Drosophila melanogaster: one gene and its partner. The protein of the gene in region 2 purifies or fractionates together with the protein of the main gene of each other region. This does not show direct contact. Each region holds a gene or a part of one and is shown on either strand. Other genes may lie near its edges. The genes, in order: coro and Iris.

Region 1 (7,987 bases), on a different chromosome or scaffold from region 2:
GTATGTTTAATACATATTTATTAATAACAGTTTTGTCTATACAAGAATGGTTTTGTGCCCTATGCTTTAGGAAAAGTTTGAACTATCAGTTGTAGCTACTTTAATCCGGAAACCATGATGGCATGTGGTCCTACACATTTAATAGATTCTTTTTCGAGTGTACTTGGGGAATAGAGATGTCATTATAACGGAAGTGGCCGGTGAACACAACGTGTCGACAAAGCGGCAAGATTTGCAATCAAGCATTAAGTCAATTCTCGGCCAGTCCCCGATCGCTGGACCATCGCATTCGCATCAATTCAGCGACGGTTGCATCTCTCGCGATTTCAACACAAATTGCTGGAGGGCCCCACAACAGCCCCATTGTCAAATGGTTAACGCGATTACAAGACAGTCGCTGCTGAAAGTTGGTTGACACCCGCTGGTTAAGTGGCGTGCGGATTAGTTGGTTACTTTTCAATAATGATTCAGCAACAGCCTGTTTCTAATTCTGGCAGAGACGCCTCCTAGAACCAAAATCTGACTCAGGACCTTTTTCAAGACCTTTTTCAAACGGAATTCTATTAATTCTAATTATACTATCAAAATCATTATGTTATTTAACCCCATTTCATTGTTATTAAGGTATACATACCTTTCATTTATAGAGAAGTTTATTCTGATTCGTCGAAAACGTTGCAACGATTCCGACCCTATGAAGAATATATTCCTGATCAGAATCGCAGGTTATAGGTAATTTCCGAATGTACTCAAGCGAGTTTTTAGAAGAAAAGAAAAACACTGTTGAACAATTTGAGAAACTAGTGACGCTCGCACCTTTGACATCTATTGTGAATAAATATAATACTAGACTTAAACACAATAACTAGGTAGATTGTGGACTTCCATCTAATGTGAGTTTTGAAGATCCGGTACTAATTTGAACCTTTGACTTAATTTCCTTTCGAATATCTTCAGAAACAGCCTTACATTTGGGGCCCACTGTAAAGAATGGAATGCAATGTGATGCTGGGTATTCAATCACACCACCCGGGTAATGGGCGTCGGGAATGAGTTCTTCAAAGATTTTCATTTCTTCAGCGATTTTCTTGAACCCACACTTCCGTTAATCGCTGAGTGGTCCGCTGATAAAACCACCGACGGTCAAGTTGATTAAGCGCAGAAGAGGCCACTTTTTTGGCCATTGCGAGCGGAATTGCGAATGCAATTATGATCGATCGGGGAAGTGGGAGTGGATGGGGGTGGCTCGACTATGATAACTCAGGCATGGCAGGTGCCAGCGATGCCAACGAAATAAATAAACACATCAAATGCGATTTACAACGCTGCTTTGAGCATCGTGCACTGTGTTTGTATATGAAAATTTCATTTCGCCTAAGATGATTTAATTTTCTATTAATAAGTTTGACCTTCAGCCGCGAAACAAAAATTTTCCCGCCTGCAAACGAAGGTGTTTGGCATATAAACACATAAATAACAACGCATACACACGCCGCAGATATATATATATATATATAGATAGATATATTCCGGGTACAGTGCTTAGGAGTATTTTCCAGTTGGTGGCAAACATTTCGGCGTCGTTTTGGACTACATAGGCGTAGCACTTAACATTATCTCTGTGGTGTTTAGCCAACTCCGAGCTGATATTTCCTTATCAGTGGAGAGGCCATGTCGATACCCACACCCACCCAAGAACAAAGCCCTCCGGGGCTCACCTTGTGGCCAAAAACAGACAGCGTAGAAAGTAATCAATTCTGGGGTCTGCTTTGGGGCCAGTTTAAAGGGGTCAATGACAAAGTTTAGTGCTTGCAATAAATATGAATATCTTTGAGCAAAACAAAACGAAGCAACGAGGCAAAAGAGGCAAATAATTTTATGGCACTTCTCTGATTAAAAACGAAAGCTGTTCGGAGTGGAAGCCTGCCGGGCTCGGCCCAACCCAGAAATGAATTCTGCTTCAAACACGTAGCTATCTAGAAGTCTCCCGGAGTGTTAGGTATATGTTTGGGCTTAGGTTGGCCTGCGGGATCGGTTTGCTCAGCCATAACTTACGTGTTGGAAGGCTACTCATTGCTGGAGTGGCTATTTTGGCGTTATGATGTCATCCTGAAAGAAAGGGGTATGGAAAACTGATAGTTCGACACGTTCCGGCTGGCGCTTCATTAACGAAAGTGGACCCGAATGTGGCAGTTGCCAAGTGGCAGGTGAAAGCGTTCTAGGCGCCTCCCGCCGTTTCCGGCGCTTTCAGTCGCCAACATTAGTGATGCCATAAGCAATTTGATGCAACCTCTCGCGGACAAAGTCAGCGCGTCAATAGCAAGCTGCGAATGGAAAGCTCATTGATTTTCGCAACAAGCGAAATTAGCATATGCAAATTTATTGAACTAATCGAGGCTGCGAAGCGCGGTGAAAGAAAAACGCGTTAAGCTAACACATAAGTGAGCGAAGCTGAAAGCGAATAACATTGCTATTCGGTCGGTTTATGCGTCGCTCAGAACTCGGATAAGGCTAAGATCACGATTTTCAGGTTTCACAGAACTGTGTAGAAAACAAAACCTATCAAATGAGTGTTCAAATCTCTGCCAAAAAGTAGGGGTTTCATATCTCATTCAGGTGCGGAAAGAATACGGCTAAACGATTTCGCTTGAAGACTTGTTATTAAGGGCAAAGGGTGGAAAATACCAAACGCGTAAGAAATTCCCCTACATTGCTAACTATCCTTCGTACGTCTCATTTCTTTTCAGAGCTAGACGTAGAGAAGCTCAGGACTGATCGCTGACCCAAGCCACTGCAGCATCAAGATGTCATTTCGCGTAGTGCGCAGCTCCAAGTTCCGCCACGTCTACGGACAGGCTCTCAAGCGGGAGCAGTGCTACGACAACATACGGGTATCCAAGTCCAGCTGGGACTCCACATTCTGCGCGGTGAATCCCAAGTTCCTGGCCATTATCGTAGAGTCGGCGGGCGGCGGAGCCTTCATCGTCCTGCCACACAACAAAGTGAGTGCGCCACCGGACCTATTATAGTTGCACTCGTCTACGTGCGTCTGCCCCGACGCGGCCAGCTTGGTGGGGTATTTTTAAACAAGACAATGGGCAACTATTTATAGCGCCCTTTTGGCATAAAGTTTGCGGCCATTTGCGGGCTTGTTGCCACGTCGCGAGTGACGTCGACGGATTTCGCATGACTCCACCCAATCTCACATGTGTTTATAAATAGTTATAGATTCTGCTACTACCGCGGCAGCGATACTGCTAGCTGGCGCACTTTTGTAATTTGGCCACTAGCCAACATGACAAACAAATCGTCTAATTTTAGAGAGAGGCAGAGGAGCAGCCAGTTAAATGAATACAAAAATGATATTCGGGCGAATCATTGCATCGAAATGCACACTCAGCTCGGCGACTTATTCCGCTAAAAACTAATTGTTTGTATTCCACTAAATTGCATTTTCAATCTCAAAATCTTTTGGCCGTCCTGCCCCAGATTCAGCTATTCGGGCTTCTGTTTAGTTGTAGTTTTGCGCGCAGCTCCAGCAAATAGTGTGGGCAGCAGAAGCACCCATTCCCCTAATCTTCCGATGCTCCTCTTTTGATGAAAACATATATGGAAGTACACCGATGGTCGTTCCATTTGAAACAAAAATTTGTATGCAAAACGCGCGGCAAGCGATCGTTTTTTTCACTCTAAGCAGTTGCCGCTTTTTTAAGTGATGATTTCTATGTGGAGCGGCTTTCACACGCCCTATTTTACTTATTTTATGGGCACTGGATGATGAGTGAGATCCATCTAGTCGCCAAGGTTGGCCGCATGTGGCAAGTGTAGGCAAGAACAAGCACAAGTTCTTGAAAAAACCAAAATAGATTTACACTCATGGAACTCATTCGAGAAACTTTTTGGAATGATACATTTTAATACATTTATTGAAAGCGATGAACAAAGAATATTATCTAATAATATATAACAATGTTAAATTTGAAATAGTTTACCATTACTATTTGTTATAATATGCTTCGAAATATATAGATTTCGATGGGAGCTATTCGGCATTCCAATTTTCTATAATTCTAGGGCCATATTCGGAAGCAATTGGCATGAAGTTTACAATTATAAATTGCCTGCTTGGCAGATTAGCGAACATAGCAGAACCGAGTGCAGTCGGAGTCGGCTATAAATAATAATTCAGGAATTGGGCTAATGGGTCGCGAGGTTGCAGTTTTGCAATGGTTGCTGCTCATGACTTAGTCGCCATCAATTATAAAAATTTACTGTGGCGTATCGAGCTAATTGAAATTTAATGGACTCTTTCAGGTTGGTCGCATTGCGGCTGACCACCCTTTGGTGGGCGGTCACAAGGGTCCTGTGCTGGACATCGCCTGGTGCCCCCACAACGACAACGTGATCGCCTCCGGCTCAGAGGACTGTGTGGTCAAAGTGTGGCAGATCCCCGATGGCGGGCTGTCGCGAACACTCACCGAACCCGTGGTCGACCTGGTTTTCCACCAGCGTCGCGTGGGTCTGGTGTTGTGGCATCCCTCTGCGCTCAACGTGCTGCTTACCGCCGGCTCCGATAACCAGGTGAGCGAATGCTAACACTTCTTCAGAAGCCCATGCTTATACTCTCTGTATTGCGAAGGTCGTGATTTGGAACGTGGGCACTGGTGAAATCCTCGTGCACATCGACTCCCATCCGGACATCGTTTACAGCGCCTGCTTCAACTGGGATGGCTCTAAGTTGGTTACCACCTGCAAGGATAAAAAGATCCGCATCTACGATCCGCGCACTGCCGAGCTGGAGAGCGAAGCCATGTGTCATGAGGGCTCCAAGGCCACGAGGGCCATTTTCCTACGTCACGGTCTGATCTTCACCACAGGCTTCAACCGTAGCTCGGAGCGTCAGTACTCCCTGCGCGCACCGGATGCCCTTAACGAACCCATTGTCATGGTGGAGCTGGACACGTCCAACGGCGTAATGTTCCCTCTTTACGACGCAGACACGAACATGATCTACTTGTGTGGAAAAGGTGACTCGGTCATTCGGTATTTCGAGGTTAGTACAAGTAAATCTACAATATTACATATGAATATTATCTAACCAAAATCTCATCGAACAGGTAACGCCCGAACCTCCTTTTGTGCACTACATAAACACGTTTCAGACTACAGAGCCGCAGCGTGGTATTGGTCTGATGCCCAAGCGAGGCTGTGATGTGACCACCTGCGAGGTCGCCAAGTTCTATCGCATGAACAACAACGGTCTGTGTCAGGTCATCTCGATGACTGTGCCGCGCAAATCGGATCTTTTCCAGGAGGATCTCTACCCCGATACGCTAGCGGAAGACGCTGCCATCACCGCGGAGGAGTGGATCGATGGCAAGGATGCGGATCCGATCACATTTTCGCTCAAAGTAAGTGGCTAAGGTGCAGAAGCAGCTCAGACTTTTATTCCGTGTTGCGAATACAGCGCTCGCCGCCGAATGCGGCAACGGTTCGGCCACACTGCCAACCATTCCGCCGGCGATAAGAGCGTACAAGATATAGGATATATATCAGCATGTGCGCCAGCGGGGCTTGTCCACAGATGGCAATGCGGCTCGAAGTCGATGAGGCAGTCGCTGCCACTGTGGACGCCCCTTCTACAATGTATTCCAACGGCTTTTGCAGTTGCTTTTGTCTGCTAGCACAAGGACTCCAAGTGAGCTACTTGTGAGTTCCGTTTAAAGCTTACTCCCAGCATTTGCCGGTGGCTACCTACCAGCGTGTGATGCCTGCGCTTGCTTTACTTACGTTTTTTCTGCGTTATCTACGTTTGTGCCTTGTCCGCCCAGCCACATTCCACTCCAATACACAGACTACAGTCCTCGTTCTCCGTTGTACAATGTCACTTGAGACGAGGCATCTTAAGAATGTTTTAGTGACGACCGGAATAAAGAGTATTCACAATGATCTAAAATGGTTTAGTATTCTAAATGTTAGCTAACTTATTAAAGTCTCCTATTGGATACAGTAACACGCCGCATAAATGCACACTTGGCCCTAACACGCACGCGAATGCGCGTGGCGCTTGTCGTTGTGTTCATTGTTGTTTGTTGTGTTCTGAAACGAACAGATTTTCTTACCCGCCTAATCAGGATCGCGTTTCCATTGTACAGGGTGGCTACGTGTCCTCGTCGGTAAACAAATCGCTACCAGCGAAGAAGGCGGGCAACATCCTGAACAAGCCTAGAGGCGACAGCGCTAGCTCCGGTGCAACGAGCAGCAGCGCGGGCGGCGGCAACTTTGCGTCCGGAAATAACAATGAGGCTAGCGAAGGTGGACCGCCTGCAGCGGTTTTATCGGTGAGTACTTGCACTCCTTCAGCGGTTGTATGATTAACTTATTGGTTCACTTCAAAAGGAAAAGGACCTGCGCACCATACAAGACGAGATCCGCAAACTTAAGGCGATCATCGTCAAGCAAGAGAACCGCATCCGCGCTCTGGAGGCCAAGGAGGACGCCCGCAACAAGAATGGAAGCGATGCTGCGCCGGCTTCAGCGGGAGCAGCCACGTCTGACGGCAAAGCCAGTGAAAGTGCCAACGACCACGCGTCCACATCAGCCGGAACGTCAAAGGACGAGGACTAGGTCTAGCAATGAAACGAGGACTGAACTGATAAAAATGGGCGGAATGGATTGGAGGAGAGACAGAGAACTGCTTGTAGAAGCTCGTAGCTACGCTTAATTTCTCTATTGCAACAAAGCGCGCTGAGGACGAATTGAAAAAGAACTTATTGTCTATTACCATTATGGTTTCGATTATTTATTTTTTATAATTTAATATTAGCGAAATCAGTTGAGTGCGGGTGTGGCACAGATAGGGTTAGAGAATGCCGAGCTAAATCATCTAATCGAACTTAAGCGAGCATAACCGAGCAGACCTGGACGCTTAACGTATAAAACATAACATAAAACTACATCCTGCCAAAAATATATAAAAAACCTAACGAACTACCTACATTTTGCGCCCAAAATCAAGCAGAGCGAAGGGCAGGTACTCGGCCCTTTGATCGGCTTGTTGTTACGCAAGTATGAAATTGTTGTAAATTTAACAAAGGCAAATCATAGACTAAACCTCAATCACTTAAGAGTTAACACCTACCTACCAAATTTGTACGAGCTCCTTTCTGTAACGTCTGTATATTTGTACGTCCCGGAAGTTTTCATGACAATAGCTGATAGAATCGATACTGTTCATCCTAGCTGAGGCCCCCTTAATCAGTCACATTTCCCTGCAAATTGTCGTGTCAAACATAGCGAATTTAGTAAGAAAGTGATGGGGGTCATCGGACTTAATTCGTTTTCGTAATCAAAATTTTATTGTTCAAACTAATGATAAGCTGTATTTTGAAATAATAAGAGTAACAATAAATGCAACAAAATCAGAAAGAAAGTAAGAAACCATCGAAACTATTTTTATAAAAATTTGTTTACTTTTCTTTTCTTTCATTTGATTTTACTTTCATTAGTTTTGTTAGAGAACCGAGGGCGAGAGCAGCGTCATTAAACACCTACCGATTTTGTAATTCACAACCATTGTAAAATGAAGACTATATACATATACATACATAAATACTCTATATACAAATAATTTACAATTTGATACGGAATAAAACAAAATACAATGCCAGAAGAAGTTGGGTGCTAATAATGGAGGTGTTTCGTATCTAATTCTTTTCGTAATGTGTGTTCTTTTAGCAGCATTTTCAAATATGTAGATGTTAGTCGACAATGGAATTTTTACCAGCTGCACTTTAAACTAATTGACAACTTTTAATTGCAGAAATAAGCTCATCCATGCGTTATTCATTGCCGAGCCTATGTGTTCGGTTCAATTGAATATGCAAATTCGTTTAATTTTGCCTAAACAGCTTTTGAGCATACTGCCGATGTGTTGTGTGTAATTATTACCTCAGCGAGCAAACCAAAAAAATGCAATTACAATTTA
Region 2 (4,511 bases):
CGACACCGCGACCTCATCACGTTCAAGTACGGATTCCCCGATGGCGATGGTCTGCTCATAACCGACATGGACCGCTTCCTCATACCAAATGCGGCCGAAGTTACGGCACTGATTTCAAGGCTCATCGTGCAGGTGCTTGACGACGCCAAGTAGGATAAACCGGACAACCGCCGCATGCTCTTCTTGTTTCCGCCTTTCCGCATCAAGCTTTATTTCATGAACGGCCACTGATACAAAAATCAGAGACACAAAGTGCAATGCGCCGCTGCGAGCGGTGTAATAGTTTGTAATTGGCATTGTTTTCCTTGTATTAGCTGAAATAGTATAGTTCTTATTGTAAACGAAGCGCTGGCTGCAATTGTAACATAGTGCACTCGGTGCAGAGACCGGATTTGAAGAAAATAGTCGAACGTAGTCCCAGATCACATGGCCATCCCGAGCATGCCACGCCCCCGATCCCAATTTTCTAAATTTCTAAGTGCGAATAAGGAACCCTTACCGAAGCCCTGAGACTTACAACGTGTACATGATGAGAGTAACTAATATTTATTGCAATCAAACCAAACAAATAAAACTGTATTATAATCGACACAAAAAATTGTTAAAAAATCATAGCTCTCTTTGAAATTTCATCGGAACTTAACAGATGCACCACGCAGCCGCATCTTCTTTTTTTTTTAGATTTCATGTTTTTCCAGCAGCGGAAGATTGCAGGTTGTGGTGCGATTCTGTGGATCCTGGAGACCATTGACTTCGTTGACAAGATTTTGAGCCTGCGCAAGTTGTTTGCTCCGATGGGTGCGATATAACCAGGTCGCCGAAACAAGTAAGGCGACCAGCAATATGGCTGCGCACACAGCTACTACTACTACGACTACCATTGGGTAATCTCGGACTGCTTCCAGCTTTTTCTGATTCAGCTCCAGTTTGCCCACGATCGCCAGGAGTTGATTAAATGATTCCAAGGTCACGGATTCCTGGGAAGATTTTGGTTCCTTCTGCAGCGTTGCGTAACCTGCTTTCGAAGGAACTCTTTCCCGGACTTCTCCACGGAGGGCGACAGCTGGACTGCGCACGGCACAGTCGCTTTGAATGCTCAGGATTCCACTGCCATTCAATTGGAGCTCCTGCCTCTCACCGGAGCACACTCCTATTAAAGTTAGCTCATTGGTAAGGGCCACCATCCAGGAGTTTGGTGCCACCATCTCTGTCCACAGACTCTTCTCCTTCACTTGACGCAAGGTGCAGACTTCGGAAGACTGGTTCCGTATGGCCGCCAGGGAGCAGGCAAAACTGTCATCCCCAGTCCCGTAGATAATGCGGTTGCGCCTGCAGATGAACCTTTCTTCGCCCAACTTGATGCAGTCGTCCAAGCTCTGAAGCGGAAAATACCTGTCCATATGATCGTTGATGCCCAGATAAGGTGTTTCGGTGTCCACCAGTTGGATTACGCCATTGTTTAACCGTGGAATGGGCGTCAATCGGTAGATATTAAACTTCTCCGCATCGAGCAAGGGCACTGTGATTTGGAACTCCACGTGGTTGCCCCGCTGCCGAGGAACTACGGAGGCGAGAAGGTAAATATTCCGGATTGTATATCGGCCATCCAGATCTCCCAGAATTGGCGGCATCTTCGCTTGCAGCTGTTTCATTGAAAGGACAAGAGGACTAAGCTTTCCGTGGTGGGCAGAGATTATGGCTTCAGTTATGGCATTCTGGGCACTTTTTAGTCTGCTGCCCATAAGGTATAGATACGGCTTCATCATAATCAGGTTTTCAGGTTCATAAGCCTCGTGAAAGGGTTCTTGAAGTATCACATTTATAACATTAATGGAGCTGTCAATGCAGGATGTTCCCATCCCAAGCTCGATGGACACGTCGTCATCTCCCAAAGAAAGTCGTCCGGCCCTAAAGTCCAACGCTTTCTCCAAGTCAATTAGTCCATCGTGAAGAATACTATCCGCAAACTTGGTAATGTCCAGAATTTCTGGACAAAGATTCCTTTGGATATCGCACACATCGACCAAAGCCTTGTAGACACCATTGAACGCACGTATTGCCGTATAAAGCGACTCCAAGTTGAAGCTGGCACATAACTTCCAATCTCTGGAGGCTAGCGATGCCTGACCGCTGTACTCCACGAAGGTGCCCAGACTGTTGTTGAATCCCCGCATCGCCATCGGACCTCCGATCGCCTCCCGATCAACTGGGCTTCCATGGGAGAGCGCTATCAGCGAGGGGGCGAGGATGAATACCAAACTAATCGCTTTCATCTTTCGCTTGTAGAGGTGATCGTTGCCCAGAGTTCCGCGCTAAACTGAAGGTGAGCTCCTGAGAATCGGGTAGCAAGCGGTAGTGCATGTCCATATGTATGTTCAATTGCTGATATAGCAAAATGATCGGATCATTGTGCGCAATATAAATTTTTAAATATTTGCAAGTGAGGCAATTAGCCAGAATTAGCTTTCAAATAAATATAATATAAATATATAATATACAAATATAACATAAGCCATCCATATTTATTATACATTTTACACTAGTCAAGTGCATTGAGTACTAATATAGTGAATTTACATAACAACCAGTGTCATAGCGGCATAACCAGCACCACAGAGGCCCACCGATGCGACCTGGCAGTAACGCAGCTCTTTGCAGATCCGGCGCCGGCGCAGTAGAGGATTGGCTCGCTGCCTCGCCAGGCAAGTACGTAAGCAGGCTCCTCCGAGCTCCGCGGTCTTTATCAATGAGAGTGACGTAGGTTGTGTGCAGACCGGACGGGATTCGGTCGGCGAGTGGAGGAGTTGGGTGGCACTTTAATGTGGTCTGCAAGCCAACGGCCAACGGCACGGAATCGGGGCAATACGTTAAAAACTGTTGCACTGCGTCGCTGGGACGTCAGTTCATTCAGAACAGTCGAAGTGCGCAGACCACTGGGATCCAAACACCGGCAGAAACCAGGCCAGGAGTCGAAGTCGACCTCCCACCTCCAGCCAGATCCGAATCCTATTTGGGACACCACCAGCTAGAGCCAAGTCAAGTGCCGTTTGCCGTAAACATGCCACGCATCTCGTTGCCCGGCAGCAGCCTGCTGGTAGTCCTGGCACTGATCCTGTGCCTCAGCCTTCCAATCCGGGCGGTGCCCACCTCCGTGCTCGCCCAAGACACGGAGCTCTCCACCAGCGCCAACCACAAGCTCCAGCAGCAGCAGCAACAGCAGCAGCAGCATCACCAGCAGCAGCAGCTCCAGCAGCAGCAGCAGCAGCAACAGCCGGCCACAGGTAAGTGCCAAAGTTCAGTACAGGTGGAGCAGCAGCTCCGCCCACGCCCACTCTTAAGGCTAAAGGTCACTGGGAAAATGCGAGTTTTTGAAAAATGCCCGGCCCGAGAAGGCTGTGCCTCCAGCCTCCAGCTCGTCGTCTGCGTGGGTTGGCTGGCTGCTGGCTTTTGAGGGTCGGGCATCCGCTCGAGTGGCTCCATCTCGGAGCTCATCTCGTTTAGCATATTCCATTTCCCATTTACCGCTCGTCGTTCGCTGTTTCTGCCAGGAAATTGCGTAGGTGTTTTGCGCGAGGACGACAGCTGTCGTCCTTTTGAATGCCGCGCTCCATGAGCGATTTATAAATTTCCATCCTGCGGTTGTTTTTCTTGCACTGGCTTAGTGAATCATTACTGTGCCTGCACAGCGAGAAAACTACCAATGACTTTTCTGAGTAAGTGGGTAGCTATATGCACTCTTGAAAGAAAACTATCAAATAAAATAAGTTTTAAGTCTTTAAATTAAAGTTTCAACAAAAAAATGATTATATAAATTATATTAAATTATATACATATATATATAATAATCAAATTTCTGCCAAAATATTCACGAAACATATATACATATATCAAGCTGCGGCTTAAAGCACAATGTTGCCTTTTCTTTCAACAACTCTAAAGAAACATATGGTATTCTGTATATACAGCTCCACGATTTCTCCCAGTGCAGTTACACTGTTCATATATGTAGCTCAGCGCTCACCAACACAAGCACACGGGAACCTACAGCGCAGTTAAACATCGCGTAGGCGTTCGCCACACAAAATGGCGGCCAGCCTCCTTTGTGAGTGTGTGTGAGTACGTGTGTGCGTGTATGTGAGTGGGGGGGCCTCCATGCTGTTAAAGTGTGCGTACGTGCGCGCGATTTCATTTCTATTTTTAGAAAGCGAGTTAGGCGAAAGTTTTCAGCCCCTTTTGCGCCCCTTCCGCTCCTCCTGCACTTTCTGCTCGCCTGGCGCCGTTCGCCTAGCATCGCCTTACGCCATCGCCATCGCCATTCACCACATCTTGGGTGGCAAGTGCCACCCATTGCCGCCCCCACTTTCACCGCAGCATTGAGCCCTTAAGTAGGCAGCCAAGCTCAAGCTGTTAAGCCTTTCCGATCCATTCCGAGTATAAATACGCGTCCGTGTGTGCAACACGTTCGTTAGCGCTCCAAACCGCAGCAGCAACTAAGGCCAAAAGTAGCGGGG

What was found.
Region 1: the proteins of Iris (region 2) and coro purify together in Drosophila melanogaster (affinity purification with mass spectrometry, with the first as the bait; one large-scale study listed by BioGRID). This does not show direct contact.

The regions. Positions count from the first base shown.
Region 1 is NT_033778.4:6,861,702-6,869,688, reverse strand, and holds coro (coronin), read left to right. Parts: upstream 1-1,893; 5' UTR 1,894-2,122; intron 2,123-2,164; exon of another isoform or gene 2,165-2,207; intron 2,208-2,548; exon of another isoform or gene 2,549-2,692; intron 2,693-2,747; 5' UTR 2,748-2,804; coding exon 2,805-3,002; intron 3,003-3,804; coding exon of another isoform or gene 3,805-3,822; intron 3,823-4,314; coding exon 4,315-4,581; intron 4,582-4,639; coding exon 4,640-5,053; intron 5,054-5,117; coding exon 5,118-5,411; intron 5,412-6,134; coding exon 6,135-6,341; intron 6,342-6,399; coding exon 6,400-6,627; 3' UTR 6,628-7,429; downstream 7,430-7,987.
Region 2 is NT_033779.5:1,131,801-1,136,311, forward strand, and holds Iris (iris), read right to left. Parts: upstream 2,299-4,511; 5' UTR 2,274-2,298; coding exon 678-2,273; 3' UTR 532-677; downstream 1-531. Other genes in the region: TBC1D23 (TBC1 domain family member 23), read left to right, coding at 1-153; CG4577 (uncharacterized protein), read left to right, coding at 3,059-3,281.